7 linked regions of the Daphnia pulex genome follow. The protein of the gene in region 2 purifies or fractionates together with the protein of the main gene of each other region. This does not show direct contact. Links are inferred from orthologs where the notes say so. Each region holds a gene or a part of one and is shown on either strand. Other genes may lie near its edges.

Region 1 (4,731 bases), on a different chromosome or scaffold from region 2:
TGCAAGGAAATGTACAATACGCGCGGATCCTCTTCAAACATCCGCTGGATTCCGTTGCCGTGGTGTACATCCCAATCGACGATAAGGATTCTAGATAAAATAAATCGTATTTAATCTAATAAACGAGTTTGAATTGCATCATTACCTTTCTAAATGATGAATCTCGATGGCATATTTGGCTGCCAGCGCCGTGTTGTTGAAGAAACAAAAGCCGTACGCTTCGTCGCATTCCGCGTGGTGCCCCGGTGGCCGGACGACTCCTATTCCACTACGACTCTCACCGCTCAAAATACTTTCAACAATTTGGAGAGACGAGCCGGCTGAGAGCAACGCAGCCTGATAGGTTTCCGGACAGATGAAGATGGATCCGTACTGCCGTTCCAATTGGTTGAGAGTCGATTGCTTTTTACCAGCGGTCGCCGCAATCTCATCGATGTAGTCGGCCTGATGCAACCACAGCAATTCTTCGCGATCGGCATCTCGAGCATCCAGCCGGTGGCAGCGCTCCAACACTCCGAATTCCATCAATTTCTGGTAGATTGAAGTGATTCTAGCAGGTCGCTCCGGATGTCCACTGCAAAAGATATCGTCAAACAATTCCATAAAAATAACAAAGAACTCGAAACAATTTAAAATTCAACTTACGGTTCGTTGATATTACGATGCAAAGCCATTCTTTCATCGTAGATGAAACAAACGCGATGCTTAGGCACTGCCAAGCTCGTTTCTAAAATAATAAACAATTACAGTTAATTAAATTGTTATTTAAAATTTGTAATCATTCATGTCACCTTTAATGAGCTTATCAAGGCGCTGATCCAAGAGGTCAATCGTCTCATTGCTCTGCACTGGGTAGCAGTTTCGAGTGGCAAACAATGTTTGTTTGACGTCAGATCCTTCAAAAGTGACACTGGGTACAAAGTGCTTTCCTTCCTTTTGACTACCCACTTTTGAAGCATCAAAACGGCCCTGGAACTGTAGACATTTCCACATAGGGCGAAGCACATAAATAGCGCTCAAAATACTTTCCTGAATACTACAATAAGAGAAATGATGCAGCCCGCATTATATTCGTCAAAAGAAATCGTTTTACCTTTGACAAGGCTCTTCGACTTTTGCAATGACTGGGCAAGGATCACCAAGCAATGTTCGCAAGGTCAGAGCAGCTCCTTCGGCTAAGGATTTCAAGCAGTACCCTCCCTAAAAATAAACACATAATTAATGACCAGCACTAGGGTTTGGTCAGAGTAATAGATGAGTCAGCGGATTATACTTCGAGAACGACAGCCAGTTTGCCTTGGGCCAGCCCCATGAGTGATGACGTCAAGTGGGAGTAGCACGCGGGAGTGATTTCCATTTCGCCCTAAATTTGACAAAAGGCGTTGACAATATTAGTCACCGCATATCTTCACAATTCCTTCAGAAAAAGGTAGAATATAAAATAAGAAGAGAACAAATGTTGGACCTTCTCGTCGCCTAGTGCCGAATCGAAACCAGAGGAGACGAGAACAAGATCAGGGCGGAACTATTGCCATGCAAATCACAAGAAAAGAAGAAAAACAAAAAGAATAAGTAGGAAGTCTTGTACACTACCTCGAAACAACCCAAGGCAGCGTCATAGCCGGCTGATACAATAATCAACTCTGGTTGAAACTGAACAAGATGAAGCGCGTTTTTAAATTACAAGCGTATTTAACCATAGTATTAATATGCATTGAACGATTTGAATAGATGAAATGAAACATGGTATCAAGATGAGTTATTACTTCATAAGCCAGAGGCAATAGCAGCTGGTGCCAAATGGCCAGATAGTCGGCGTTACCCATTTTCGTTTTATTCAGTGGCACGTTCACGTTAAAGCCTTTGCCAACTCCACTTCCAATGTAGTGAAAATCGCTTTCACGAAGATTGGGCCAAAAAGCTCCGTGCTCATAACGATGAACCGAGAAATATAAGACTCTGAATATTCAATAAAGGTAACCCTCACATAGAATTGATTCAGTGCATGTGATAAACTAGATGCCTTTTTACCTGGGGTCTTCGTAGAACATTTGTTGAGTTGCCTGGCCATGGTGAACATCCCAATCAACAATCAGAATTCTTTCAACACCCTTGTTATCTAATGCATGCTGGGCTGCAACTGCTACATTGTTGAAGAAACAATAGCCACAATATTCACTTTTCATTGCATGGTGCCCTGGCGGTCTAAATAAATCAGTTTTGAATTGAAACAAAAGAGAGGAGTAAAATTTGCAAAGTATGTATATTACCTGATTACAGCCATTCCATTTTGTATCTTTCCATCCAGTATGGCATCAACCATCTCAACTGTTGATCCAGCTGCCAACAATGCTAGCTCATTTGTTGATGGATGAATGTAAATGGCATCATAACCTGAGCTGATAGCTTCTAATGCTTCAGCATCTGGACTGCCATCTGTTCCTTTGAGCAATTCAATTCTGTCTGGTGTGTGAAGTTTCAACAGCTCATCTTGAGTTGCCTTTCTAGGTTGAATTTCTACACAGCGTTGAGCCAACCCATATTCACGGCATCTGCAAGATTTTTTAACCATTATTTCACCATAAGCAGTTTAAATTTCAGACTAGGTATATAACTGATAACTGACCTTTCCAAAACCCGAGTGAATCTCTCTGGACATTCAGGGTAATTGGGATCCCAAAGACACTGGTGTTCAACCATCCGTTCATCATAAACAATTCCTGTTTGGCCACGTATCTTATCTTTAGAATCCCGAGTCTACAAGAACAGAGTGATACATTCATCAACATCTAGCTTCAACATTATCCAAATTAAACAACGTTTAACAGTCTTAACCGTCCTTACATTTTGCAAGTGATCCACAAACACATTTAATTTTTCATTTTTTTTATTCGATGGTGAGCGACCTTTCACGAAATTCGAAAACTTTGTTTGTTTACTCATTTCGACTTGTCTTGTGGGACTGCTAAATTCTTGACTGCAGCCGCTGACAGAACTCAAGTGCAAGTCAACAAACAAGCTCTTGAGTGAGACATCTGGTGAGCGTCGGTTAAAACAAGCTCACACTTATTATACCGATGCACGAACGAAGTTTGAATTGCCTATCGAAATATGAATATACGAGGTAATTCTAAACTACTGCGTTATTTATTTATAACGGTTTCTTATTAAATCAAATTATTAAATTCCAATTTCCAAAGAAACGGGGTTTACCGTTGAAATGTGATTTATGCTATTAAAATTGATTACAACCCCTTTAAGTAAGACTGTGTCAAGTTACACTCATTCACGACCGATATAAAGCTTAATTTTTAATCAGTTCAGATGATTAAATAATTAAGTCAAATCAAACAACATACCGAGTACTCTCCTAGCAGACGAACGGCATGCGTTTGTGGAACGACATCTGAACGACATCCATTTTCGAAGACGAAACAGAACAAACTGAACAAATCATCGCACAATTTCTTCTCTAGAGTTCGTCAAATTAAATAAACGAGACCAAACATAATAGAGAGGAGGACGTTTTTATTTGTCAAGAAAACTTAAGTTATATGTGTGTGGTTAGTCACAGCTTTCTCAGTTTTCAGGCTTTTTTACGGGTTTATGAAAGATGACGCCATATTCAATGATTAACAACATAATCTTTATGGTTGAAAAGTTAATCCCTTTCGTCGGTGGTATTTAGTTGCAATCAATTGGTCAAATTACAATTTCTCTTAGCAACATAAAGTTTTATTCCCTCGGGTTCTCTTCGGCTCTATGAAATTCTATCCCCTCCCACTCTTTCTCACACCCTTTCAAGTTTCGTTTTCTATTCGTTTTCAGCCCCTTACCCTTCACCCTTCAGTCTGCAATTTTGCTGATGCTGGGGTCTGGGAAGTGGGAAGTGACTCAACACTCAAGTGAGAGCTGGCATTCGCATTTCATCTTTGTTGAGAATAACACGTGTTTGTAACAGTCGCCATTTTTCTACGTACTGAGCCATGCAGTCGTCAGCGGACAATGTCTGTCTCTCTGAATTACAAATTTCAAAACTTGATTTAGAATGGAATGTTCAAGTGCCATGTCTAGAAACTGTTGCGGCGTGGATGGAACCTCTGGAATCAACGTTATTTTCAGCTAGAGAAACTCCTGATCGTCTGTGGAAGCTAGTACTGTCTGATGCGGGTACAACATTAACTGTACAACTATTTCTTACAACTCCCGGATTCGCTAACTTCAAGAGCGTCACGGCTGTCGACCCTTTTCGCATGAAATTATCAATCCTAAACGGGAAACGACAGAAAGTTCTCCAGCAAGTATACGGTGTTCAAAAGAATGGCTATTGTAGCATCCATCTGAATTTTCTCAAAGATGCAATCCTAAAATCTGAGTGTCAGCAATTGAACGGAAGTCTCGTCTTCCACTGCGAGATTGAATCGTACGCGAAAAAAGAACCTGTCGCAGGTAAAGCTAATCTAATCCAAGACCAGTCAATTAGTTGCAGTGATCAGCTGATTGACCACTTTGAATATTTGTTCGAAAACATCAAGTACGCTGACGTCACTCTAAACGTCGGTGCTCAAAAATTTCAAGCACACAAAAGTATTTTGGCGTCAAGAAGCAAAGTCTTTGCTGCCATGTTCGAACATCCGACCAAGGAGAAACTGTCCAATCAAGTGGAAATTGAAGACATCAATCCGGATGTATTTCACGAGTTGCTTCGTTTCGTGTACACTGCCCGTTTAT
Region 2 (3,169 bases):
GGGGGTAACGCCATAAGAGGACTCAAGACGTTCAGTCGTCTTGAGAGAAACAAAAACTTTTAGCCCCAGAGCATCACACAACTGTCACAAGTTTCCGTTTCCTCGGCGAACGTCAATATCTACAAAGAATATCCTCTTTACTCGGCCGGCCAAACTGCAATGCGTCCATCGTTTCCCTGACAAAGACGTATGTTCCTACGCTTTAGACTTTGAAACACAACCACTCTTCTTGTTTATAAATGGTTCTTTTTTCCTCTCTTCTTCTGCTTTGCACCCCAAAAAAAAAGAAAAAGAGAAGAAAGATAGAGAAGAGGGGGGGGGGGGGGGGTCTCGGAGCTCTCAGCATAAAGCCATCATCAGCGTCAACTGTCGCCGGCCAAGTCCAATAAATAAGGCGACACCACTCGATCGCTCGAGGGACTGCTGGAAGGTGGCGAGACGCTCTCTGCTGGAGACAGCACAAAAAGATGGGCATTCATCACTTCTAGAGTCTCTCTCGTCGATCCCTTCATGGATAGCCATTTTTCTTTCCTTTTCTCATCTCGCTCCATTCCGTCAACCCGCTCCTTTCTTACCAACCAGAAAGAGTTATAAGCACCGGCCGACGCAACGACAGGATGGGGAGGAACTGTTTCGTTTACAGCAAACTTTAACCCGTTGCCAGCCATCACTCTACCGGACTCCTCCCCTTCTTTTTCTCCCTTTCTATCAAAGCTATTTGCATACGTTTTACAAGCGTTCTATACTCGGCGCAAAACAGTCGGCATCCTGCACAAGCCTTTTCGCAGCAAGACGACGGACGGCAGGAGAAAAAAAAAGAAAAACCGAAGGAGCAAAGACGGGGTTGAGAGACGAATGGCTCCTTATCAGACGATTTGCGTCATCTGAGATTTACGACCCACGGCTGCCGCATTCAGCCATATTAAAAAGCATAACTGCGACTCTGGTATGCTGTATCCGTCGTCCGACCCGTCTGCTCCATGTCAACACCACCACTACTCTCGCCGCCGCCGACTCTAAAGCTCCAGTGGCGAAAATAAATTCTACCACCACCCCTGGAATTGAAGTGGGTGTCGGTCAAAGCCATCACATACAAAAACCCAACGAGATATTTGCTGTGTTGAGAGCAGTAGACATAATTAGAAATACACTTTAAACTTTTTTTAAGAGTTTAATGTCGAAAAAACGGAGAAAAAAACGAACAAATCGAATCAATAATAAGGGAGGCTCAAAGCTGCTCGCTAATGGTGGGAGGACATTCAAAGTATCCATCTAATTTTGGGTTTGAAAAATTGTTGATCGAAACGAGAAATAAAAATTGAGGAAATCTTACGCGCAAGGGATTGTCTGCTAAAAATCGCCTAAGTTCTGGAGGATAGGGGAGAGGAAGACGGATTCCTTGTCACATACACACGAAAAGTTACGAGATTGTAAGGTGAAATATGTGGAAGGGAGAAAATGCAAATCGATTATCGAGGAGGAAGAACACCACACGGTAACAGAGCTTGAGGAGAAGTGGGCAGGAGAAGGAATGAGGACAAGTACACATGTTACGTTTTGGAACATGCAGGTTATTCATTGAAAAATGGAGCAAGGACGACCTGCGATACTGTCAGTGCAATAAGGGGAGAGAGGAGCATCGTGGTGGATATGCAAGAAGGAGTTTTGTAGTGCTTAAATCTTTCGACTTTTGCTTTGCGTTTGGGTGCAACCACTTTAAAGGTCGGTATCATACCAAGCGGCCTGGGCATCGTGGGGCGGTTGGGGAGGTGTGGCCTGACCCATGTGGTTAAGAGGATCGAAATCCAAATCAGAACCCATGTGATCTACCGGGGCGTAGTTGTTGGATTGAATGGGAAGACCCATTGAATGCCCCATATTCATCCCCATGCCCATGGTCGGAGATGTGGCAGAAGGTGGTGGGCCGCCATGGTGTGAACCGAGCTCCAATCCTTGCATCGATTCTACGGGTAGGGCGTCATATCCTATTTGAAAATTTAAAAAAAAAACACCACAAAATTACAATATCCGAAGTCAAAGCGAATAAAAATCCTCAACTGACTGTCTTCATCAATCACGGATGTAAATATGTATACAGTAACCACTAAAATTGTACCTTGACGATAAGACCTGCCTCCATCTTGGTTGGAGTGGACACTGGGTGGGCCTTGCCCATAAGGACCTTCATAAGGCTGGTCAGGTGCAAGAATATCCTGCTTGCCGGCCGATCAAGTGAACAAAAAATGTAAATAAAATAAAAACGTTGGATTGGAACAAATAATAAAACAGCGGGTGATAAAAGACTGGCAAATGGAAAAGGCAATAAAAAAGCGTTTGGGGATGCATGCAAGTTTTCATGCAAAACAAAAAGGGAAAAAAAAAAAAAAGTCATTCCAGGAGGCATGCGAATTAGTGCCTCACCTTGGTTTAGTTGTCGGTTAGTTCGGATTAAACTTTTGGAAGACAGAATGGGTGGGATGATGTAAGTTAAAGATTAGTATAGGGTTATTAGGGGAGAATGCAATCAAACCTGAAGATCGGGAGGCATCAAAGGCAGATCTCCATTCCACAAATGATGGTCTTCGCGGAACAAGGAATTGGTCAGCTCCATAGATAGCCTCTTCTTATAATCTTGGGGCTTGTCTTCAGACATGCGGAAAAGTACAGCAGCCGCATACGTTGCTGTTCAAAGAAGTACACTTTTAAAAGTCTATATCTCTTTCACTGGCACAATAATAGCTTACCAACACCCTCATTGCGAGAATGAAGTAGTTCTGTCAGAGGAGCAGTTGCACCCTCCTGTTCGATCATGTCGGCTCCTTCCTTATCAGAGGCCAGCTCGCAGAGTACGCCGGCAGCAACACGTTGAATATTTTCTATCTCGTTGTACAACAACTGCAATGACATTAAAAGTTAATACATATTGATTGCAAGTTTGAAACACGTTTTCTTACCTGGACAAAAATAGGGATGACACTCAAGCCACGAATAACAGCCCGGTTATGGGACTCGCGAGCTAAAATATGGAGGGCGCCTACAGCACCTTCGACAATTTCTTCCATCCTTACTCCATCGGCGTAGGATCCTTGTGGCTGACCGCTGCCTGAGCTGACAACCGACGAGCGCTAAAAACAATCATATTATTTAGAAAATTATAAAATGTGAAACC
Region 3 (4,103 bases), on a different chromosome or scaffold from region 2:
CCGCCCAGCAAGTAGTTGAACTTCAGGAAGCAGCCCAGATTCATCAAGGCCTTCTTCAGTCTCGTCCCGGAACTCTGCACGATGTTAAAGCCATCGTCAAAACATGGAGAAATAGATTACCGGTCATCGCTGACGACTTGAGTCATTGGAGCGATGTATTCACGTGGAGGCAACATCACTATCAGTTCATCGTGTCCCATTATGATCAGCAAAGCGATCAACAGGCCAGCGCTCAATCTATGCTTGGAGTTCACGCCTCTGCCCAGGCTATCATTCATTTCGGCAAAGTGGCTCGAAAGCATAATTTAACGGGTGTGTGCCTTGATTCGTTAGCTAGGATCTACAGTATTCCCAGCGTTCCGATTGTCGATTGTTTCCAAAAAATCAGACAACAAGTCAAATGCTACCTTCAAGCTGCCAACGTATTGGGGAAAAATGAACTACAAGAAGGACTCGAAGTCATAGAATCAACGAATTTGAAATACTTTGCCAAAGAAATGACGGCGGAGCTCTACGCATTAAAAGGAATGTTATTAGCTCAGATTGGCAGAGCAGACGATGCTAACAAAGCTTTTTCAGCCGCTGTACAAATGCATGACACGCTCGTTAAAGCTTGGGCCTTATGGGGTGACCATTTGGAACAAGTTTTCACCAAAGACTCTCGCAACATCGGGATCGGAGTTTCTGCAATTACGTGTTTCTTACATGCGTGTCGTCACCAAAACGAATCCAAATCAAGGAAATATCTGGCCAAGGTGCTTTGGCTTTTGACGTACGACGATGACAAGCTTTCATTAGCTGAATCCTTGGACAAATATTGTGTTGGAGTTCCGCCAGTGCAATGGTTACCTTGGATTCCTCAACTTCTGGTGTGCCTTGTTCGTGATGAAGGGAAGTTAGTGCTCAACTTGTTGAGTCAAGTTGGTCGGATGTTTCCACAAGCAGTGTACTTTCCCATCCGCACTTTATACCTGACGCTGAAAATCGAGCAGAGAGAGCGCTATAAATCTGCGGAATTGGCTGCTAATCAAGCTTCCACCGAGACTAGTGCTAATGTCACCAATGGCGCACCTCAAAGCAGCACTCCAGCTGCTGGGATGGAAGGAGCTGGCCCCATCAAGGCTACCGAACCTATGTGGCGTTGCTCACGGATCATGCACATGCAGAGAGACTTGCATCCCACTGTTTTGTCTTCTCTTGAAGGCATCGTCGATCAAATGGTTTGGTTCAGAGAAAATTGGTAAGAACATCATCTAATTAAATATTCTTAGATTAAATTTCAAAATTTGAAATTGACATTTTTTTGTTTTGCTTGCCTTAATAGGTATGAAGAAGTACTACGTCAGTTGCGACAAGGTCTCGCAAAATGTTATGCCATCGCTTTCGAAAATCGAGGATCCGTTGCCGAAGCCACAATCACTCCGCACACGCTGAGCTTCGTGAAAAAACTGGTGGCGACTTTTGGAATAGGCATTGAAAACATTGCCAATTCTGCAAGTGGTTCTTTTAGCAGTGCTGCATCCGAAAGTTTAGCACGTCGAGCTCAAGCCACAGCTCAGGATCCAGTGTTTCAACGAATGAAAACTCAGTTTTCAACTGATTTCGACTTCACTTTGCCCGGCGCCATGAAGCTTCACAATCTTATTCACAAATTGAAAAAGTGGATCAAGATTTTGGAAGCCAAAACTAAACTATTGCCCAGGTATGAAATTATACTTTTCGGAAATTACATTCATTATATTTTGCCATGAAAAAGTTTCCTCAGCCTAATTTATATATTCCAATTTGTGTGATTTATTTAGGTCTTTCCTTATCGAAGAAAAATGTCGGTTCCTCAGCAACTTTAATCTACAAACAGCGGAAGTAGAACTTCCCGGAGAATTTTTGCTTCCCAAGGTAAACAAAATTTCTTCTCACTTTATGAAACCCAATAAGAAATGTCCGCCAAAAATGATGAAAAACTTATTAACAAGGACTGCTCCCATATTGGTCGAGCTATTCGATGACGGTTGCTGATAAGATCTGATTTGGTTTTCGTTACTTCGATCGATTTCCTGTGTTATCATTCTATTTTTATATAAATTCTGAATTTACTACGCTTTCCCGTTTTAGCACACGCATTACTATGTCCGGATAGCCCGTTTCTTGCCGCGCGTGGAAATCGTTCAAAAGCATAACACGGCAGCCAGGCGTCTCTACATTCGAGGACACAATGGAAAGATCTACCCATACTTGGTTGTGAACGATGCAGGTCTCGGCGACGCTAGAAGAGAGGAACGTGTTTTGCAACTGCTTAGAATGTTAAACAACTACTTGAACAAGCATAAGGAAACGTCAAAGAGATTCCTGAACTTCACTGTACCTCGTGTTGTGGCTGTTTCTCCACAAATGAGACTAGTAGAAGACAACCCATCCAGTGCTACGTTACTCGATATTTACAGGCTACGTTGTGTTAAACGAAACATTGAACATGATATGCCCATCGCTAAATACTATGAAAGATTAGCCACCATTCAAGCAAGAGGAAGTCAGGTAAGCAGTCTCCCTTATTCTATTTTGATGGTCAAATTTTCAAACTTTTCTTTGTAAATAGGCTAGCCACCAAGTTTTACGAGATATTCACAAAGACGTACAGCAGATTATGGTTCCACGAACTCTGTTGCGTGAATGGGCCAACGTCACGTTCCCGTCAGCCACATTTTATTGGACATTCCGAAAAATGCTGACGCTGCAAATGGCTCTGGTCAATCTTGCCGAATACGTGCTACACCTCACACGACTCAATGCAGATATGCTGTACATTCATCAAGATTCGGGCCTTCTAAGTGTATCATACTTTAAGTTTGATGTTGAAGACTCAAACGGAGAACTCGATGCCAACAGACCTGTGCCTTTCCGTCTAACGCCAAACATGGTTGAGTTTTTGACAATGATTGGAGTGGCCGGTCCTCTTACCGCAAGTATGATTGCTGCGGCTCGTTGCTTGGTTCAACCGAGTGTCAAAGTCGCTGCTATTCTGAAAGCAGTTTTGCGAGATGAGATGATAGCATGGCACAAGAAGAAAACTGCCGACGAGAAGGAAAAGGACACTGGTGGAAGTGGTCAGGTGGAGGGAGAAATTTTGATTGGTTTGGTAAATAAAGCCGTTAATGCGATAATAAATAGGCTACAAGGGTTATCAACCTTTGATGGAAATGAGTCTAAAGTCAGCACTTTGGTCGCCGCTGCCAATAGTAATGACAATTTGTGCCGGATGGATCCAGCTTGGCATCCGTGGTTGTAATGTGCGAATGTTTCTATTGTGTTTAGTATACTGAAAAAAAAAAACTGTAATTCGACTTCTACGTAAGTAGAAAAACTCGGTTGATTAATAATACACTTGTCAATTATTTTACGTGACTATTCTTATTTATTACCAAATTGCATCTTGTTTATTAGTTATTACCAAAAATCAGAATATTACGATTGCAAAAAACTGGGTATTTTAGACCTTCCAACCCTCGAAAAGTCTTTTATTCTAATTCCAATTATATTTTATAAAAACTTTAACCTACTTATAATTTCTTAGAAGGGCTTTTTGCCTTTTTATCAGCGGTTAGTCGTGATCAATGATTTCACGTCTCCCCAGAGCAATAGATACCTGGTCGGTTCTCGGCCGTGTTGGCTTCCCTATCCCGGTTTTAGGGTAAACGTATCCCCGATTTTCAGACATTTTAGGGCGGAGCTTGTCAGAAGTTGTGAAGTGGTAAAAATGAAACAGCGCCATCTAGTGATAAGACGTTGACTTTCAAATAATACTTTCGGCGGCCATTTTTGTGTAATATGTGAATACGGCGGCCATTATCGTGTATTACGTGAATGAAGCCTAACCATAATTTCTGTAAAAATGGTTGGCAGGTGTGCTGTTCCTGGTTGTAAATCAACATATTTCAAAGGAAATCAAAAAGAAAACGAGGTTACCCTGTTTGCAATTCCTAAAACTTCATTATCTAAATGGCGAGAACTAATTCCATGTAGTTATTTGACGAGCACCTCACGTATTTGCTCCCGTCATTTTGACGAAAGTGACTTCAAATCAGGGATTTAAATTTTGAACGTGTTCC
Region 4 (3,957 bases), on a different chromosome or scaffold from region 2:
AAGATTTTGATTTCCTTTACAGGTTCGATCGATAAATTTTCAATCAGTTTGTCAACAGGCGATTCATCCGGTCTCAGGCTGGAGAAAAGCCATTCGGGTTTGTCTTCGCCACTCTGCACCGTCAACGCCAAACACCCAAATTGTTGTTCAGTCAACCATTTTCCTCGTTGGATGATTCTCGACGCTCTTATTCGATGCTCATCTACTTGAGTCACTTGCGTTGAAGGCCATCTAGAAGAGGGGCGGAGTGGAGCGAATTCGAGCAATTCTAAATCTTCCGGAAGAGGTCTTCCATCGTCGTCTACGGTGAAGGAACCGTTGGATGCAAAACAAATTTGGAGCTGATTAAGTAATTTCGCTGTCGACGACCAGAGCTGGCCGCGTTTGATTTTCGTGAGCACTTGTGGCTGAGAGTGGAACCAATCGAGGACAAGTTTGATCACGCACAAGTACCTGGAGTTGGGAAGCTGTTGGTCGGGCAGTGAACAACAGGCTGTTAAGCAAGCATTGAAAACAGATGAAGCGACATCGATAGCCAACTGAAGTGATCTCTTTTGGGCGTCGGTGGCCGAGGCTGCACTACACTCGCCCACCGAATAGAGAGTGATGGTCAGCATGCGGATCAATTGTGCTGGAGTCAGGGCTTCCGTGGCCACTAGCGATGGCCAAGTCAATGTCAAAAGATTTACCGTTTGCTCCGCTTGATCCAGATCGACACCTAGTCCAATTTGTCCCTGCAGCTTGAGAAAAGCGAGAAGAAACTCTTCGGCGCTCAGTCGACCTCCGCGAGTTTTCTGGTAATTTGATACTTGCACAGATTGTTTCTTCAGGAGTTTATCGAGATTGATTCTAGCAGGTGGAAACGGATGTTTGAGGGCCAAGCTGCGGACGTAGTAAAACAGCGTGGACAGCATATCCCCCCGTGCTGATACAAGCAGTGCCAATTGGTTGTAAGGATGTCCACTTGAAGGTTCAACATTGATGGCCTGATTGTAGTATCCTTCGGCTTCAGTCAAAAGATTTCTGTATCTAGCCAAATCTCCCAAATGGATCAAGCAGTGCTGGCAGATGTAAAGGACTGACTCATTCTTGGGCTGGAGAGCATAGGAGGGGCCATTGAAGATTCCTAATTGGGCATTTCTCTTGCAGATGGATGAGCTTGTGTCGCACTGGGCACAAATTTCTTGCAGCAGAAACATGTAGAATCCAGCTGCTCCTTCCAAAAACAGTTTGAGGATGGGATTGCTACTTTTCTTCCCTTGTTTTGGTTGCAGCCCCGAGATGGGAACTTTAAAACACACATTCCACAAATCTTGCTCAACTTTCTTGTCAAGTGCATAGTCCAAATTTGACAAAATAATGTCTTTGTACAGGTTGCGTAAAACATAGAGGAAGCTGCAGTGAGAGTCATTTGTCACATCAATGACATCTGGCATAGTTGATCTGGTGTCTCCCGCTTCCCTGAGAAAAAGTAAACAACACAAACATGGTAAGTAAAACCAAAAAACATTTAATGTGACATGATAAAGTTTATCATTCAAAAACAATGTCAAGTATAGTATAGGAACATTTTTAGTTAGTTATTTGCTTTTCCAATGTAACAAGGACGAGTACTCCCACCCACTGTAACAGTTTCCAAAACCTTGCTTAAATACTCCCACGTGTTTATACGGCAATCTTACCTCCATAATTCTTCAGCCGTTCTCATTTTTAAGAAGTGGTATTGTAGGGATTGTATAATTCCCGAAATTACAATCGGGAGCAGTACTCTCTTTCACTTGCACACTCATTAAAAAAAATCTGTAATTCATTCATTCATTCAACAAATTCGTCTGCTTCTGTCTAGCCATCTAGTAGCCAAAACACGAAGCTTTTGTATTTAAAAAGCATGAATTTGAAAGAAGATTGTTCGAGAACATGCTTGGAGAGATTACGAATTTAAAAAAAGCTGCGGTTGATATTTCACACCGATCCCACCGTTGAATTATATTTTGTAACACAACACCTTGGAAATAGAACCGCAGTTCGCCATAGGCAGCACTTGGTTCAATTCATAATTGCCGTTTTTTTACAGTCAAGCAGAAGACGTCGAATTGACAAAAATTTAATCATTCCCTTGTGGTTGCAACTTGCACATTTCGTTTTGTCAAATCACTCTTACGTTGGTTTTCTTTGAGTACAGTTGCAAAATGCCTAGACCTATTGATGAAGTACGTAACATTTATTTTTTCCTAATTTTTTTGTGTTTAAAAACTTGTGTTTCATAAGATTTTCTTGATGATTGACGTGTACATGATACTAGTGTCTCGTTTGTTGAAACTTTCAGCTTCGTGCAGATGTTGATGAGCTGAAGAAATTGACAGACTTGGCCACGCGCCAATCTGTGAGAGATGTTTTGGGCATCGAAACACGCCGTTTAGAAACTGAAATCAGTCTTCAACTCAAAGACAACATGTTCAATCTTGAGGCAAAACCAGCTGCCGCAGCTGGAGCTTCTGCTGTCAGATGTTACGATGTCAAACTTACAAACTATGGTAATCTTTTATAAAATTTTATGCTGAAGAAAAGTTGATGATTTAATGTTGTGTAATTTATCTCTTTAGCTTGGGATCAGTCTGACAAATTCTTCAAGCTATTCATCACTCTGGCAGATGTCCAAACTCTTCCTGCTGAAAATGTAGTTTGCACCTTTGGTTCCAGGTACAATGATAGTTAAAAACATTTGCATTAATTCAATGACTAAACTGTATGATTTTATAGATCCCTTGACCTCTCAGTTAAGGAACTAAAGGGTAAAAATTATTCTCTGGTCATCAAAAATTTAGCTGAAGTTATTGATGCATCAAAGAGCCACTGGAAAGTAAAAACAGGTAAAAAAAATACTACACTAAAGTATAGTGACATGTGTATTAATCCTGTCCCCCTTGTTTTCCAGATTCTGTGGTAGTCTTTCTATCAAAAGTTAAACCAATCACTTGGCCCACTGTTACTATGGAAGAAAAGAAAATCAAAGAATCTAAAGCCCCCAAATTTGACGCATCAGCCAGCGACGATCCACAGGCGAGCATGATGAACATGATGAAGCAACTCTACCAGGACGGCGATGATGACATGAAGCGACAAATTGCAAAATCTTTTGCAGAAGGTCGAGGAGGTAAAACCCCTGATTTAGGGCTTTGAAAACTTAATTAAATACTTAAAGTATTTGTCAATTCTTTAACGAACAATATACAAGAAACGTTATCGAATTCTTTGTATTTTTCAAAACAATTAGCATTCATCGACTGTTTCACAAACAGGACACGATGTAGGAACAACAAATCAAAGCAATAATACCGACATATCTTAATTTTGGTTCTGGATTGAAACAATTGGTTTTACCAATACTCCAAACAAGTTTTTCAATAAGAATGCTTCATTTCAGATTAGACTGCAATCCCTTCAGGGGTTAAGCTTGATACAGTCGTGGAGTGGAATCAGAGTATCCAGTTGACTTTCAGCGACATCCGACTGTAGAAGGTTTTCGGGTTTGATGAGATTCCATTTATAGCTGGTCGAGGGTTCGAACTTGACGTCACCACGCGGTTTGGTGATGAGCTCAAACAAAAATCCAAGCGTTTTCTGACTGACTTCTCTCATGCGCTCCTGGGATGGCGCTGCGTGGTGCTGACTGAATGACGGTGCGCCCATAACGGAATTCAACCAAAATCTAATTTTGTTGATGAGAAGCACATCCTAAAGGGAGATACAATAAAAAACTGTGTAAATATTTCGTGAAATAGAAAACAACAGTATAAACACTAACCGTAAGACCAATCTCCGAGTCAAATGTAAGTTCCATATCATGTTCAGGATAGAAGGATTGCTGCTTCACTTGATCGTAACCCAACCCACAAATGGCACCCGTAAGGCGTTTAATCTCCTTGTCCGCCCGGAATTCAGCTCTCGGGGCAAAAA
Region 5 (4,200 bases), on a different chromosome or scaffold from region 2:
TACCGGTTCGTTGAACATGTCAGCGATGTACTCTTCACCACTACCATTATCACCGTACGGGTTGGATTCATTTCCCGACCGCATGTAATAAATAAGGGCATCGAACACATAGGCAATGTGCTTCAATGACGAGACGTCAATAACGGGCAGGGTGTCGGAATGCTCGCCATTGTGAGCCCGCATAAGTGAAAGGCAGTAATTCAAAAATTCGCGCCTTCCCGTCAAGGGATCCGGCACTTCGTTGCCCCGTTCTCCGCCAGCACCACCAGCCTGTCCTCTACGGCCGTCGTAAGTTCCAGGTGCAGCTCCCGAACCAGCCAGTGCAGAGGCTGCCGAACTTGAAGATGCGGCCGTTCGAGAGGAAGGTAAAACTGAACTAGCAGTAACCATTCTAACCAAAGTAAAATGAATTAGATACTCATAAATCGGAACGGGGGGGGGGGGGAAATAAAAAAAAATCAATACCTTGACAGCGGTGTTCTTCCATACAAAGTAATATGGTTTGAAGGTGTTCCGTTCGGTGTAGAAGCGTTGGATAAAGCTACTCCAAAGCGTAGCTGAGCTTCGGTCGAGTCCATGACGTTGACCAGCCAATCCCAGACTGGCTTCAACCTGAATTCCAAAAATTGTTGCAGCTGAATGGACTCTTGGTTGGTGATGTCCAAATTTCGCGAAAGGGTGGGAGCAAGTGCCGGATAATCCAAAAGCATCGTGAGCAGGTCTGCAATCTGACGAACGACCAGTCCAAAAGCCCGAGCTAATCCGCTTGCTGTAGTAGCCATGGAAAAGGGTTCCGGTACCACGGGAAGTGTAGCTGTGGCGGCGGCAATTGCAGCAGCAGCCGCAGATCGGCGAAGAGAAGTAGGTTCTAAGTACATCAAATTGGTGGTTGAACCACCGACAGCGTTTCCACTACCGACGGCCCCATTGGCGCCAGCGCCACGTACGGCATTGTTCTCTCGATGGCGAATGGCCCACATCATCGATTGCGGAGCCATGCCAGAGGTACCACGGACAGGGGCAGCAGCAGTGGCGGGTACGGCGGACGAAGGGTTATTATTGCGGCGTTCCAGTTGTTCGTCTGAGAACGCAAATTCCTCCGTATCTTGTTCGTCCGTTTCACCACCGTCCGATTCATCCTCTTCTTGACCAGTTGAATCGCCAGATTCATCATCAGAGAATAACGCCAAGGATGCCATGGCCGCATCGGAACCGGCTGTAGCTCCTGTCTGCACACTACGTTGGACCGAATTGTTGTCCTACAAATATTCAAACAAAGTAATACAAAATTTAATGAAAAAAATCCGTTCATTGCTCAACTTTTAAACACCTACCTGAGTGTGAGTGCTCTGATTATCGTTATCATGTTCGTGCTCGTTGTCATCCGAGTCGCTTTCGGTCTCTGCTAGGAGGTCCAGCTCCATATCCGATTCACCACCAGCATTTTCTCGTCGACCAGTTCCATCACCGCCGCGACCATTGCCTTCGGCATCTTCGTGTTCTGAATTGTCCGCTTCAGCATCGCCGTCACCTTCTCCATCGCCTTCATCACCTTCGATGGTGTCTAGTTCTTCAGACTCCATACGGCGAGTGGTGGCACGACCACCACCTGCAGCGCTGGAACCAGCACCGAGCGATCCAGTTGGTACAGAAGAGCCGTCCGCGTGTTCTTCGTCGGCTGCTCGGGGTGTTAGCGGTTGTAAGGGATCGACGGAAAAGAGTTCCTCGCTTCCATGAATGGCGTCGGCGTTGGAAGTCACCAACGGAAATGGGACAGTTGGACGGGCGACACCTAACCGGACGGGTACGATCAGGGCATCAGCTGCTTCGCACAGTTCTTCAATGGCCAGATTAATAAGAGCCTGGAATACTCGCTTGCATTTCATCAACGGCTGTGAAGTAACACTGGCACTGGAAGCATTATTCTTCTTCTTTCCAGACTGAGGAGCGATCTCAACGCTAAAAACGACAAAGACCCGGACGACCGAGCGCACGAATCGCCTAGCAGCAAGACGAGCTTCCTGTTGTCTCGACCACCAAGTCTTGTTCTCCATTTCAGCGATGAGCGTAGTCAAAAGGCTGTCCAGCATTTCAACCGAACATTTGACTAACATGCAGTGAGTAAATTTGTCCAATAAAGTAGTCCCACTTTGGCTTTGAAGATATGCTTGATCTTCGGCGATGGTACTGGAACCGGCAACTGTTTCCTCTTTGTAGCCAGAGAGCAACATGGCTTTAACTGATGACCAATCATTCAAAAGTCTATCCAATGCCATTCGGGAGAATCTCGGTGGTTCTAGATCGTGTTCAGGCATATCTGGTTCCAGTTCAGATGTTAAAACTTTTCTCGAAGCGGCGATTCCAGTTGATCGGGAACGGGCGGGTCTGTACTGTCGTTGTTCAGCCGACTGACGACCGACTGTCTGTACAAGGAAAAGCAGTATGTTCTCTCCTTTACTATTGGGTATGTTCACCAGATCCGTCTCGTGGACCAAGCGGCAGAGTAATTCGAATCGAAGTTTTTGATTGCCTACAAATCAAGATATAGAGTTAATAATCAAAGACTTTAGTAGAAATAACATTGAAATGAATTACCGGCAACCAAAGCCTTGCATTTACACTTTTCCCAGCAGTCACAATAAGCGGTGGGCGATGTGCGCTTGAGCTTGCAATCGTGACCCTTGTGACATACGCGGGCGCACTCGGTACAACAGCAAAGGGATCCCGTAAGGCCGCATGTTCGGCATTCAAAGATATCCTGATTAATGTGTTCGGCTCCGGTCCAAGTGAAGCTGCACGTGTCGTTGCTACAGAGAACATGGAGCGGTGAGTCATCCGGGCTGCAGCCATTCTTGCCCAATGGAAAAATGAAACTCTGCAACAGCTTTTTCTGAGCGTCCACTTCCGTTGTAATCTGTCGAAATAATCTAGTGGCCACATCTAGCAAAAGTAATGCTGCGGGGTAGGCACGAACGGCAACCGCTTGCATGAACGGTGTGTGACCTTGAGCGTCACGCGCGGAAAGGAGTGTCTGTAGATGAGGGGTCAGAGCTGGACTCTCGGTGATGGCCTTCAACGCGGCCAAGGAATTGGCACGTCGTTCAACAGGGTCGGAAACGGCAGCAGCCGCCATTTTGGAGGAGCCACATGCGCCGGCACTGCTCGAGCCAGCTTGATCGTCATCGCCGTGATTGGACGATTCCAAAGACATCGGTTCCGGTGGCCAATTGAGCGTCGGAATAGAAATGTTTTCTTCGACTACGGAACTACTACTGGGAACTCCCGAATCGGCTGTGGAACTTTCCGATGGTCGAGCAACAGCAGCACGCCTCATCATCTCTCTGAGACTTACAGCCCGGGAGGAAGTGCTCAAACCCACCGGAAGGGGATCTAGAGGATCAGCGATGGAGTTGGCGACGGGTGCTACATTTCGCTCGTCTTGAACGTCCGCATCTTTGTTTGAAGTTGGTGAGCACATGGATACGCAGGCGTGGATTACGTTTCGACCACCATCACAGCGTTCGTTGACGATACTCTGGACGCCGGAAAGGCGATAGGCTTCTGAAGACGTTTCTAAGCAGTTCATGACGTGGCGAACGCCATCGATATCGCAGGCCAGCAACTTGGGCATTAATAATTGATTTTCGGTGACGAGTACGAGTAATATGGCTTGAGTCTTCTGTCCAGGACCAACCCCTTGCAGAGAATGGGAACCGAAACCCAGGCAGCGCATTGGTGGCAAATCCAGCAAATGCGGATCACGAATAGAATCGAGACAGTCACGTGACAAAGGGTAGATTGTGCCATTTCCATCACGGAGCAGAGTCAAGGCGTCACCATCTCCTGTATTGAAGAGTCCAATGTTTCGTCCGACGTTGAGGCCCATGAACGAGGTATAGTCCGTTGGTATATTCGATTCATACTCGGCTTTTCCCGTGCTCAGATTGTAGATTGTGTACTTGAGCTGAGAGCCAACTTTGTTGACCGTGTGAATACCTTGTCCGTCTACTGAGAAGGCTAAAATCTGTCCGGGATCGGCCAACGTCACTCGTCGCGGGAGTCTTTGGAAACAATCAGGGATCCGGATGGATGAGCCCGATTTTACCACCTAAATAGAGAAAGAGTAACATTAGATTAGGGAAATTTCGTGGATTCAAATATTCACAATCGTCACTCACCTGCAATTCGTCTTTACGCAAT
Region 6 (3,926 bases), on a different chromosome or scaffold from region 2:
TGTCCAGAACTATCAAGAGCCATTGTGCTTGCCTAAATGAAAGAACCCACTTGTTATTATTTATTTTTGTTTGTAAAGTAAAAAAAAACAAAATTAAAACAGTATTATTACCTGTAGATCCTTATGTTCAGCAACTACATATTCATTACTCCATTTGGCTGCCATTTTCTTCTCCCTAAGAAAAAATTGAAGACATTAAAAAACAAGTAAACTGAAAGCTCAGAAATTGAAACACAAACACAAAGATAATGTCATTTCAAAGACAGAGTAGAGAAAATCTCAGTTAGGTGACTTAGCCTATATTATTGAATAAAATTCCCATTTGAGAACACCATTTTTCCATTATAATTAGTATTAAATTTACAAACTTCATTAAATCTAATTATTTGATTACTTTTTTTAAATTGAGGAGTAGAAATAGAAAAAGTTGAAAGAAGAAAATATAAACAGAACAGACGAACCGAAAATTCATGAGGGCGTAACGCGCAAGCAAGTAGCAGACGATTCAAGGATTTTTTTTTTTTTTTTTTCGAATTCAAATCGATTCGATTCGATTCAAAGGAACTTATTGAGAATGCTTCCGCATTCCGGAGTGGTGATTCAATCAATGTCTCATCATCTCATGACCCTTACATAATAATACTACTGATCATTTTAAGTTAAAATCTATAGTTAATTTTTAAATAGACTTTCGGCAACCATCAGCACGCACCAGTGAACATTTTCTTCCGACTTCCCGTGAACAATTATTTCTACGAAGAAAATGCAATCTATGCACATTATAAGAAACACTACATATTATGCATACAAAACGTATGCAGGGAAAATTATAAAATTAATGGTCAAGCCGTCAAGGTATCATGCCTATCATCTACCTATGAAAACCAATGATGGTGTCTAACTTGCAAAGCATTTCTAGTAGCTAAGCCCGGATATAATCCGCGAGTCCCTTTATCTTTTTCTTGATATGCTCATTTTCAGGAGACCATCTAACGAAACAAAATCTAAAAATAATGCAGTGTTCAACACACTGACACACACACACACACACACACACAAAAAAACCAAAACTTGTACATTATAATTGGCAAAACGGGAGGTTGTCTAAAGCACGAGCTGTTTTAAAACATACAGTTAATTCACCAGTGCACTACGGAACTTCGTACAACTTGTTCTTTTGTTTGACTATACACTTAAAACTGCTTTTTAATTTATTGTATTCTTGGCTTGAAAACATGAAGTTGGATACAAAGGTACATGTAACATGTGAAAACAAAATTTCGTCGAGATAATTTACTTTTCTTCGCACCACTCGTTCTCCTTGCGTACTTGCTCTTCCTCACTAGGGGTGAAATCGTTCTTGATGTTGAAGGTCTTGCGAATCTCTTCTGGGGTTTTCCCCTTGATCATGTTTGCAACAGTCTTGCAAGTAACATCCAGCAAGCCTTTAATATCCAGATAATTGGCAGCCTAAAAACAAAAATATGTACATTACATTTCACTAACATTTTTAACTTAAAACAATTGTAGAATGTTTTCATAGGTGTGATATCAGAAAATGAACACTTACCAAGATGAGTTCAAACAGAGTTCCTTGATCTACTTTGAGGAAATCAGCATCCCATGATGAGATATCATCAGTACGTTTTTCCTTATTGTCATCATCCTCTGGTGGTGGGGGGTCATCTTTGTGGTAAGTTGCCCACTGAATTACTTTACGTAGAATAGCAGAATTGACATTGGGTAAAGGAACAACTTCTTCGTCATCTTCATCCATTCCTAAAACCAAAATTGAATTTCAATTGAACGTTACCTTTTTTAAGCATTTGAAAAGAAAATAATGACGCATTTGCCTATAAATATCTTTGTGGTGCAACTTTTGATTTTATTTGTTACATTAACATTAAGCTTATTGAAAAATATTACCTAGATCCTCAAGCATTGTTTTGATTGTTACTGAACACTTGGCAATTTCGACATCAACCTCAAATGTTTCTCCATCGGAACTCTGCAGCTTGATGTTTGGCATTGTGTGAATTGTGTTTGTTCTCTGAAAACTGAAATACACAAAAAAACTTTTTGATAACCAAAAGTCCAGCAGCAAAGAACAATGAATGGATCAAGCCCTCAGGAGAACCAGCACACACATTCCAAACAAAAATAACAGTCAAGAAAATCACATCATTATGGGAATTATCTCAAACATTATGGGTACATTTTCGAGTTTCTAACTCTCTAGTCCGTATTGTAATAATGTTGAGAAAATTAAGCTTGGAGTTCAACAAAAAATTAAGCAAATTACGTACTTTTCTATAAAGGTTGCTCTAGAGCAAATGGCGCTGGTGCTGGTCTGAAAAATGTTCAGTAAAAATGAACCCTCCTCTCCTCCCTGTTTCGCTCTGTGATGGAAAACATCACTGCAACTTTCGCATCGCATAGTATACACTCGGAGGGGAAGGGGCGAAAGTATACCAACAGTCATGTTAAAGCGGTTTTTATGAAAAACGTGTTCTTTTCCAGTTTTCGAGATTTTTGAGTTTTGACTTCTGTGTATTCTACATTTCTTTTTGTTGGCAAATGGCAATATATAAAACCAATTAACTGATTTTTTTCTCTCTCCGGTTTTGCACAATTCGAGATGGCCAAATCCCCAAAATATTTTTTCCAAGCCATGGCGCCATGCGCAGTTTCCCGTAGGGATTCTAGTCACAGTCGAAGGAGGCTCAGTTTCGACACGCCACCGCTGCAATTCAAACTGCAAAATTCAATTGCAGTAATTAGACACTTAAATTTACGTAATTGTGACACCAATCACGCAAATTTTTGTAGGCATTAGATTTAAAAAAGAAATCTCTTTAAAATGGATCACATTTTACGAAGATATAATATATTCATTTTTTAAAACAGCGATTCTAAGTCAAACGGGGCTCAGTTTCGAAACGCCACCGCTGCAATTCAAACTGCAAATTCAAAACGACACTAAACATTAATACAAAATTTACGTAAATGTGTTACTTATCATGAAAATTTTTGTATGAAAGAGATTAAACAAAGAAAGGTCTTCAAAATGGATCACATGAAGATATACTAATAGCTGTATTTTTTACACAGCGATTCAAAGTCGAACGGGCTCACTTTCCCGGCTTGATGTGTGTCAACCCAAAGCTATAGTTTGCAGGCCTAACAAGAAGCGAATTTGGTGGCAGTTTTTACGACTGCCCGGCGGCCTTGTATACATGTAGATCCCCACCAAACGTGAACAGAAAAGCGTCGGGTTTGTTTGTTTACGTTTAAAAGCAAAGTAAGTTTTACCAGTTTTACTACTGGTTTAGACAAACAAATTGGTTTTTTACACATTTTTTGGTATGCCTCAAGTCCATAGATAGTATGTAGAATTTCAATTTGTGAGTGCAATCTACCACAATTGACAAACATTTCTTACTGAAATATTTTCCTTTCCCTTTTTAGATGCCTGGAGAAGATCAAATGGAAGATGAAGCTGAGACTATGACATTCCAGGCCAAGATTGCTCAGCTTATGAGCTTGATTATCAACACCTTCTATAGTTGATCTCCAACTGCTCAGATGCCCTAGACAAGATCCATTATGAATCCCTGACTGACCCAAGCAAGTTGGATAGCGGCAAGGATCTTAAAATCAAGATTGTCCCCAACAAGAATGACTCACTCTCATGGATATGTAAGTTGAGAAATTTGAAAAGTTCCTCCTATTTGAACACGAATTTGACTGTTCTGTTTCTCTTTAGTGGTATCGGCATGATCAAGGCTGATTTGGTTAACAACTTGGGTACTATTGCCAAGTCCGGAACTAAAGCTTTCATGGAAGCCCTCTCTGCCGGAGCTGACATCTCCATGGTTGGTCAGTTTGGTGTGGGTTCCTACTCTGCTTACCTGGTTGCCGACAAG
Region 7 (4,200 bases), on a different chromosome or scaffold from region 2:
AACAAGGTATCTCCGCCACCACCAAAGGATGTTGCACCGCCTGCGAGAAGCCCATCGTCGGGCAGGTCCGACTTTTTTTCATTTCCCCCTCAATTCAATTGACCCGACCATTGAATTAATTGAATTTGTATTGTTTTGTTTTGTTGTGGGGTTTTCAGGTGGTGACGGCTCTTGGTAGGACGTGGCATCCGGAGCACTTTGTCTGCTCCCACTGCCGCCAGGAGTTGGGAACGCAAAACTTTTTCGAACGCGACGGCCAGCCTTACTGTGAACCCGATTATCACCACCTCTTCTCGCCCCGTTGCGCTTATTGCAACGGACCCATTCTAGATGTACGTTGTTGCCTTTTTCCTGGTTGTTTCAACACCCACCGCGGGCCCAATTGATTTGGCAAATTCCGACCCTATTTCACACACGCGTTGGGTCCAGTTGGTCCTGGACGGGAGAGCTCTTCTCTCTCTCTCTCTCACTATCCAGAATGTATAAATAGAACTTTTAAGTGGCCCCGAACGAACTGAGCGAAGCCATCACAAGAGTCACGCACGTTGGCTGACTGATGAAACGGATGAATGGATGGACGACGGTGTCAGACAGCTGGTCTGGTTCACCTCATCACCCGAAAACTTGTTCTTGTTGGCAGCCTCTTTTTGTTGTTGTTTCTTTTTCCTAACATGTTCCTACTAACTTTCTTTTTTTCGGACGTTGTGTTTCTTTTATCGCCCCCGCGTCGCCAATTGGTTCCATTACAGAAATGCGTGACGGCGTTGGATCAGACGTGGCACCCGGATCACTTTTTCTGCACCCAATGCGGCTGCCAGTTTGGCGAGGATGGATTCCAGGAGAAGGATGGCAAGCCATACTGCAAGGAGGACTACCTGGCCATGTTCGCCCTCAAGTGCAAAGGCTGTTCCACGGCCATCACCGAGGGCTACATCTCGGCTCTCAACGGCCAGTGGCATCCCAATTGTTTCGTCTGCAGGGTAAGTTTTTCCTTATTGACGTCAGATATGTTGTCCCCTGGAAGGTAGGTTATTCTTCTAGACAATCCTATTAGTAACGTGTGTCCGTTTCGCTGTTGTTGTTGTTGTTGTTGACATTCTTATATATCTCTTGACCGAGAAGGATTGTCGCGTTTCGCTCAACGGCGGATCTTTTTACACGGTCGACTCGCGCCCAGTTTGCGGCAAGTGTATGGGCGTCGGTTCCGATGCCGAAGACGACGACGACAGCCAATGAAGTGACCCCCGTGACCCCAAAACAAAAAAACAAAACAAAAACAAACCAAAATGTGTTTGAAAATTTTCAAGGAAGAAGAAAAACACAAACCCAAAAAAACACACGGCGCTTCTTATCTCACTTCTCCTTTCGCACACTTTTCTCTCTCTCTCTCTCGCTCCTCTTGAAGTAGTTTTGGCCACTCCCACCAGAAAAAACAGTCCCGAGTTTTTATTTTACAAAATAAGAAACCTGACAAACCAAAAAAATGATGATGATGTTCTAGTCCTGAAAAATAACAACACACCCACCGCGCGACATGCCCAAGTGCCTCCTCTTATTTAAAACAAATTTATTATTGGCTCATTTTTTGGCTGTTTCTTCTGACTTTTTTTCTTCTTTCTATCCCCCTTTCGCTCTCTATTCTCTCTCTCCATTTTGTGTGTTGTGTCTTGTTATGTATGTTGGCGATGATGAATCTTTTTCGCACAAAATGACAATGAAAGAAAACAAGTTAAACCAAAAACCAAAAATACCTGAAAAAAGAGTTCCACTCGAACGAGCAAATCATACTACTACTCTACTGCTGCTACTTTTTCCAGTTTGGTACATATAGTCAGAGAATAAAACAAAAAAGAAACAAAAGATTAACGACTCTTCGGTGGCGGGGAGGCTCATGCACTATTGGATGGATGGTATAGTTGGACTGGTTTGGCGGGGTAGTAGTAGCAGTACAGTTCGTTTAGTTCAGTCACATTTCTTTTCTATATACAACACACACACCCGTTGGGTGGGTTTATTTTAACGATGCGGATGAGTTCACATCGTTACGCAAAATGAGCGCTGCAAAGTAAAAGGCAAGTTCGTCATTCTCGTGAACTCCCCATGGTTCGGTTCACGCAATGGGTTTCTTCTTCTTTTTGTGTGTGTAGAGCCGGGTTGAATAAATCAGTCAAGTCGTGGGAGGGCGGAGACAAGCTCCGAGCCGGGATGAAGTTGCTTACCTTTGAGCTTCTTCTTCTTTCAAAATTAGAATTCGTTATTTTTGTATTTTGGCTTCTTTTTTGCGCGCTAGTCTTGTCCATTTGATTGTTGTCATCGCTTTTTAAAGCTTTTGGACCCGGGGGTTTGAATAAAGCGCTTTGCACAGCTGTGCCCTCCTCCCTCGGTCGATCTTTACCAGCAGAAAAAAAATTTTTTGAAGCCAGCTTTCGAGGAACTGTAAACGACCGGATGACGCATGGCGTGTCATAAGAGATTTCTCCGGTGCCGCTCTAGCGAAGTAGAAGAAGAGGGATACTATCTATAGGCTGGCGAAAGCGTATAAATAAAGACATCCTTTCTCTCGACTCTCCTTTTTTCTATTCTCAGAACATAAAAGACACGTACGAAAAAAAAAAGTTATATTTTTTTTTCGGGTTTTTGAAAATTCGCCGCAGAATGGCGCGGACTTTTCTTCTTTTTATTTTCGCCTATTTTTGGGCTCTTTGGAGAGGCTTTACTAACTACGACCAGTAGTTGGCTGTCAAACAATCACTTAGTCTCGGGCTCTTGACCCTCTTTTCTGCTAGCTCCTCCTTCGCCATTTCCCTTGTAGTCGTTATTAACATTTTATTTTTAAAAGCGACTCAATGAAAGGCATTTCTTTTCCAACAACAAACGGCGTACGGGTGACGTTAAGGGTGTCTAATTAAAAACAACAATTACCCCCCCCCCCTCACTTAGTAATTAAGCAAATATGGATCTTTTGCTAATGCGATTATTAAATTGTTATTTTTTTTTTTTTTTCCCCACCATTCCAACTTGCAGGATTGCAACATGCTGTTCCAGGGCGGATCGTTCTTCGTTCACGAGGGTATGCCCTACTGTGAGATCCATTACCACGCCAAGAGAGGTTCGCTCTGCGCCGGATGCCATAAGCCGATTACCGGTAACGATTTTCTTCTTCTTCTTTATTTTCTCTTTAATAGACATCCCCCTCCCCCCCCCATAACACTTGCGTGAAAAAACAACAACCGTTTAACCTCATTTTCTCTATTCACCCATTATACTGTAACTGCTGTATACGATGTGAATGAATTTGTTTGTTATTGTTCTTTTGTTATCACGCGAAAAACAAAACAAAATCAGGTCGGTGCATCACGGCCATGTTCAAGAAGTTTCACCCGGAACACTTTGTCTGCTCCTATTGCCTGAAACAGTTGAAGAAGGGCACGTTCAAAGAGCAAGGAGACAAGCCGTACTGCCACGGATGTTTCGAGCGCCTATTCGGATGAAAAACCAAAACAATTCCGGAAGGGAATGAAACAACAACAACAAACAATAATGATTTTGAAAAATGATTCATTTCTTCTTTTTTTTAATGATTGGGTGGGGAAGTACAACTGACGACGGACTCCACGTTTACAATGTAATAACACATGTGAAAAGATAACCCCCCCCCCCCACTCAATCCACATCGAATTCTATTTTTCAATGTAATCCCCGCCCGCCCACGCCCCCCATGAAGGAAACCAGCGCATAAAAAAAGGAAAAGAAAATGACACGCAGACACATTTTCTATATACTTACACTACTACATTACAGTATAAATCTTTATTCGATTTCTACCATAAATATTCTTAGGGCGACATCCCATGAAACCAATTTTTTTCCTGGTTAATCGGTTAACCATTTTTTGGGGGGGTTTTCCAGCCAACGTCTTTTGCCTCTATCGGCTCATCTTTCAAAGTGGTTTCTCTAGTTTGTTTAGTTGTCATTGGATAAACCAAGTGGTGAGGAAAACAAAAAAGGAAATGAAGTTTTAAACCTCCCTCCCGCTCCTAACGCTTGATTCACCGCCGAGACGCACAAAAAACTACGCAAAACTAATGATGTTTTTTTTTTAAATAGTAAAACTTATACAATAAAAAAAGTCAAATAGAAAATCGAAGTGGAAAACGAAAATGGTATGGCATCAGCTATTGCTGATGATGGCGCACACAC

The links.
Region 1: the proteins of armadillo segment polarity protein-like (region 2) and histone deacetylase 6-like purify together in Homo sapiens (co-immunoprecipitation; 3 studies listed by BioGRID and IntAct, with this or other methods). This does not show direct contact. The link is inferred for Daphnia pulex from reciprocal best matches to the Homo sapiens genes CTNNB1 and HDAC6.
Region 3: the proteins of armadillo segment polarity protein-like (region 2) and transformation/transcription domain-associated protein-like purify together in Homo sapiens (affinity purification with mass spectrometry; 3 studies listed by BioGRID, with this or other methods). This does not show direct contact. The link is inferred for Daphnia pulex from reciprocal best matches to the Homo sapiens genes CTNNB1 and TRRAP.
Region 4: the proteins of armadillo segment polarity protein-like (region 2) and calcyclin-binding protein-like purify together in Homo sapiens (affinity purification with western blotting; 4 studies listed by BioGRID, with this or other methods). This does not show direct contact. The link is inferred for Daphnia pulex from reciprocal best matches to the Homo sapiens genes CTNNB1 and CACYBP.
Region 5: the proteins of armadillo segment polarity protein-like (region 2) and E3 ubiquitin-protein ligase UBR5-like purify together in Homo sapiens (affinity purification with western blotting; 3 studies listed by BioGRID and IntAct, with this or other methods). This does not show direct contact. The link is inferred for Daphnia pulex from reciprocal best matches to the Homo sapiens genes CTNNB1 and UBR5.
Region 6: the proteins of armadillo segment polarity protein-like (region 2) and S-phase kinase-associated protein 1-like purify together in Homo sapiens (affinity purification with western blotting; 3 studies listed by BioGRID, with this or other methods). This does not show direct contact. The link is inferred for Daphnia pulex from reciprocal best matches to the Homo sapiens genes CTNNB1 and SKP1.
Region 7: the proteins of armadillo segment polarity protein-like (region 2) and paxillin-like purify together in Homo sapiens (affinity purification with western blotting; 3 studies listed by BioGRID and IntAct, with this or other methods). This does not show direct contact. The link is inferred for Daphnia pulex from reciprocal best matches to the Homo sapiens genes CTNNB1 and PXN.

What each region holds. Positions count from the first base shown.
Region 1 is NC_060025.1:1,310,664-1,315,394, reverse strand, and holds the start of histone deacetylase 6-like, read right to left. Parts: upstream 3,027-4,731; 5' UTR 2,944-3,026; coding exon 2,845-2,943; intron 2,758-2,844; coding exon 2,627-2,757; intron 2,553-2,626; coding exon 2,271-2,552; intron 2,206-2,270; coding exon 2,032-2,205; intron 1,960-2,031; coding exon 1,767-1,959; intron 1,654-1,766; coding exon of another isoform or gene 1,594-1,653; intron 1,526-1,593; coding exon 1,466-1,525; intron 1,364-1,465; coding exon 1,274-1,363; intron 1,201-1,273; coding exon 1,094-1,200; intron 1,037-1,093; coding exon 792-1,036; intron 728-791; coding exon 646-727; intron 575-645; coding exon 146-574; intron 91-145; coding exon 1-90. Other genes in the region: speckle-type POZ protein-like, read left to right, coding at 3,987-4,731.
Region 2 is NC_060020.1:4,719,673-4,722,841, forward strand, and holds the end of armadillo segment polarity protein-like, read right to left. Parts: intron 3,126-3,169; coding exon 2,955-3,125; intron 2,896-2,954; coding exon 2,745-2,895; intron 2,683-2,744; coding exon 2,531-2,682; intron 2,214-2,530; coding exon 2,117-2,213; intron 1,986-2,116; coding exon 1,717-1,985; 3' UTR 1,201-1,716; downstream 1-1,200. UniProt on the Homo sapiens protein: Key downstream component of the canonical Wnt signaling pathway.
Region 3 is NC_060018.1:6,516,024-6,520,126, reverse strand, and holds the end of transformation/transcription domain-associated protein-like, read left to right. Parts: coding exon 1-1,240; intron 1,241-1,324; coding exon 1,325-1,702; intron 1,703-1,802; coding exon 1,803-1,896; intron 1,897-2,112; coding exon 2,113-2,532; intron 2,533-2,593; coding exon 2,594-3,283; 3' UTR 3,284-3,399; downstream 3,400-4,103. UniProt on the Homo sapiens protein: Adapter protein, which is found in various multiprotein chromatin complexes with histone acetyltransferase activity (HAT), which gives a specific tag for epigenetic transcription activation.
Region 4 is NC_060023.1:1,465,207-1,469,163, forward strand, and holds calcyclin-binding protein-like, read left to right. Parts: upstream 1-1,880; 5' UTR 1,881-2,189; coding exon 2,190-2,210; intron 2,211-2,326; coding exon 2,327-2,534; intron 2,535-2,603; coding exon 2,604-2,700; intron 2,701-2,760; coding exon 2,761-2,870; intron 2,871-2,935; coding exon 2,936-3,180; 3' UTR 3,181-3,248; downstream 3,249-3,957. Other genes in the region: protein SMG7-like, read right to left, coding at 1-1,461, 1,683-1,708; probable ATP-dependent RNA helicase spindle-E, read right to left, coding at 3,442-3,735, 3,806-3,957. UniProt on the Homo sapiens protein: May be involved in calcium-dependent ubiquitination and subsequent proteasomal degradation of target proteins. Probably serves as a molecular bridge in ubiquitin E3 complexes. Participates in the ubiquitin-mediated degradation of beta-catenin (CTNNB1).
Region 5 is NC_060021.1:11,107,562-11,111,761, forward strand, and holds part of E3 ubiquitin-protein ligase UBR5-like, read right to left. Parts: coding exon 4,179-4,200; intron 4,109-4,178; coding exon 2,596-4,108; intron 2,531-2,595; coding exon 1,335-2,530; intron 1,260-1,334; coding exon 466-1,259; intron 392-465; coding exon 4-391; intron 1-3. UniProt on the Homo sapiens protein: E3 ubiquitin-protein ligase involved in different protein quality control pathways in the cytoplasm and nucleus. Mainly acts as a ubiquitin chain elongator that extends pre-ubiquitinated substrates.
Region 6 is NC_060019.1:12,033,805-12,037,730, forward strand, and holds S-phase kinase-associated protein 1-like, read right to left. Parts: upstream 2,465-3,926; 5' UTR 2,438-2,464; coding exon 2,307-2,437; intron 2,058-2,306; coding exon 1,927-2,057; intron 1,780-1,926; coding exon 1,571-1,779; intron 1,471-1,570; coding exon 1,294-1,470; 3' UTR 1,201-1,293; downstream 1-1,200. Other genes in the region: GATOR complex protein WDR59-like, read right to left, coding at 1-32, 112-175, 462-472; heat shock protein 90-2-like, read left to right, coding at 3,692-3,699, 3,767-3,926. UniProt on the Homo sapiens protein: Essential component of the SCF (SKP1-CUL1-F-box protein) ubiquitin ligase complex, which mediates the ubiquitination of proteins involved in cell cycle progression, signal transduction and transcription.
Region 7 is NC_060022.1:1,457,333-1,461,532, forward strand, and holds part of paxillin-like, read left to right. Parts: coding exon 1-65; intron 66-158; coding exon 159-332; intron 333-749; coding exon 750-980; intron 981-1,122; coding exon of another isoform or gene 1,123-1,236; exon of another isoform or gene 1,237-1,748; intron 1,749-3,024; coding exon 3,025-3,145; intron 3,146-3,345; coding exon 3,346-3,491; 3' UTR 3,492-4,200. UniProt on the Homo sapiens protein: Cytoskeletal protein involved in actin-membrane attachment at sites of cell adhesion to the extracellular matrix (focal adhesion). Recruits other proteins such as TRIM15 to focal adhesion.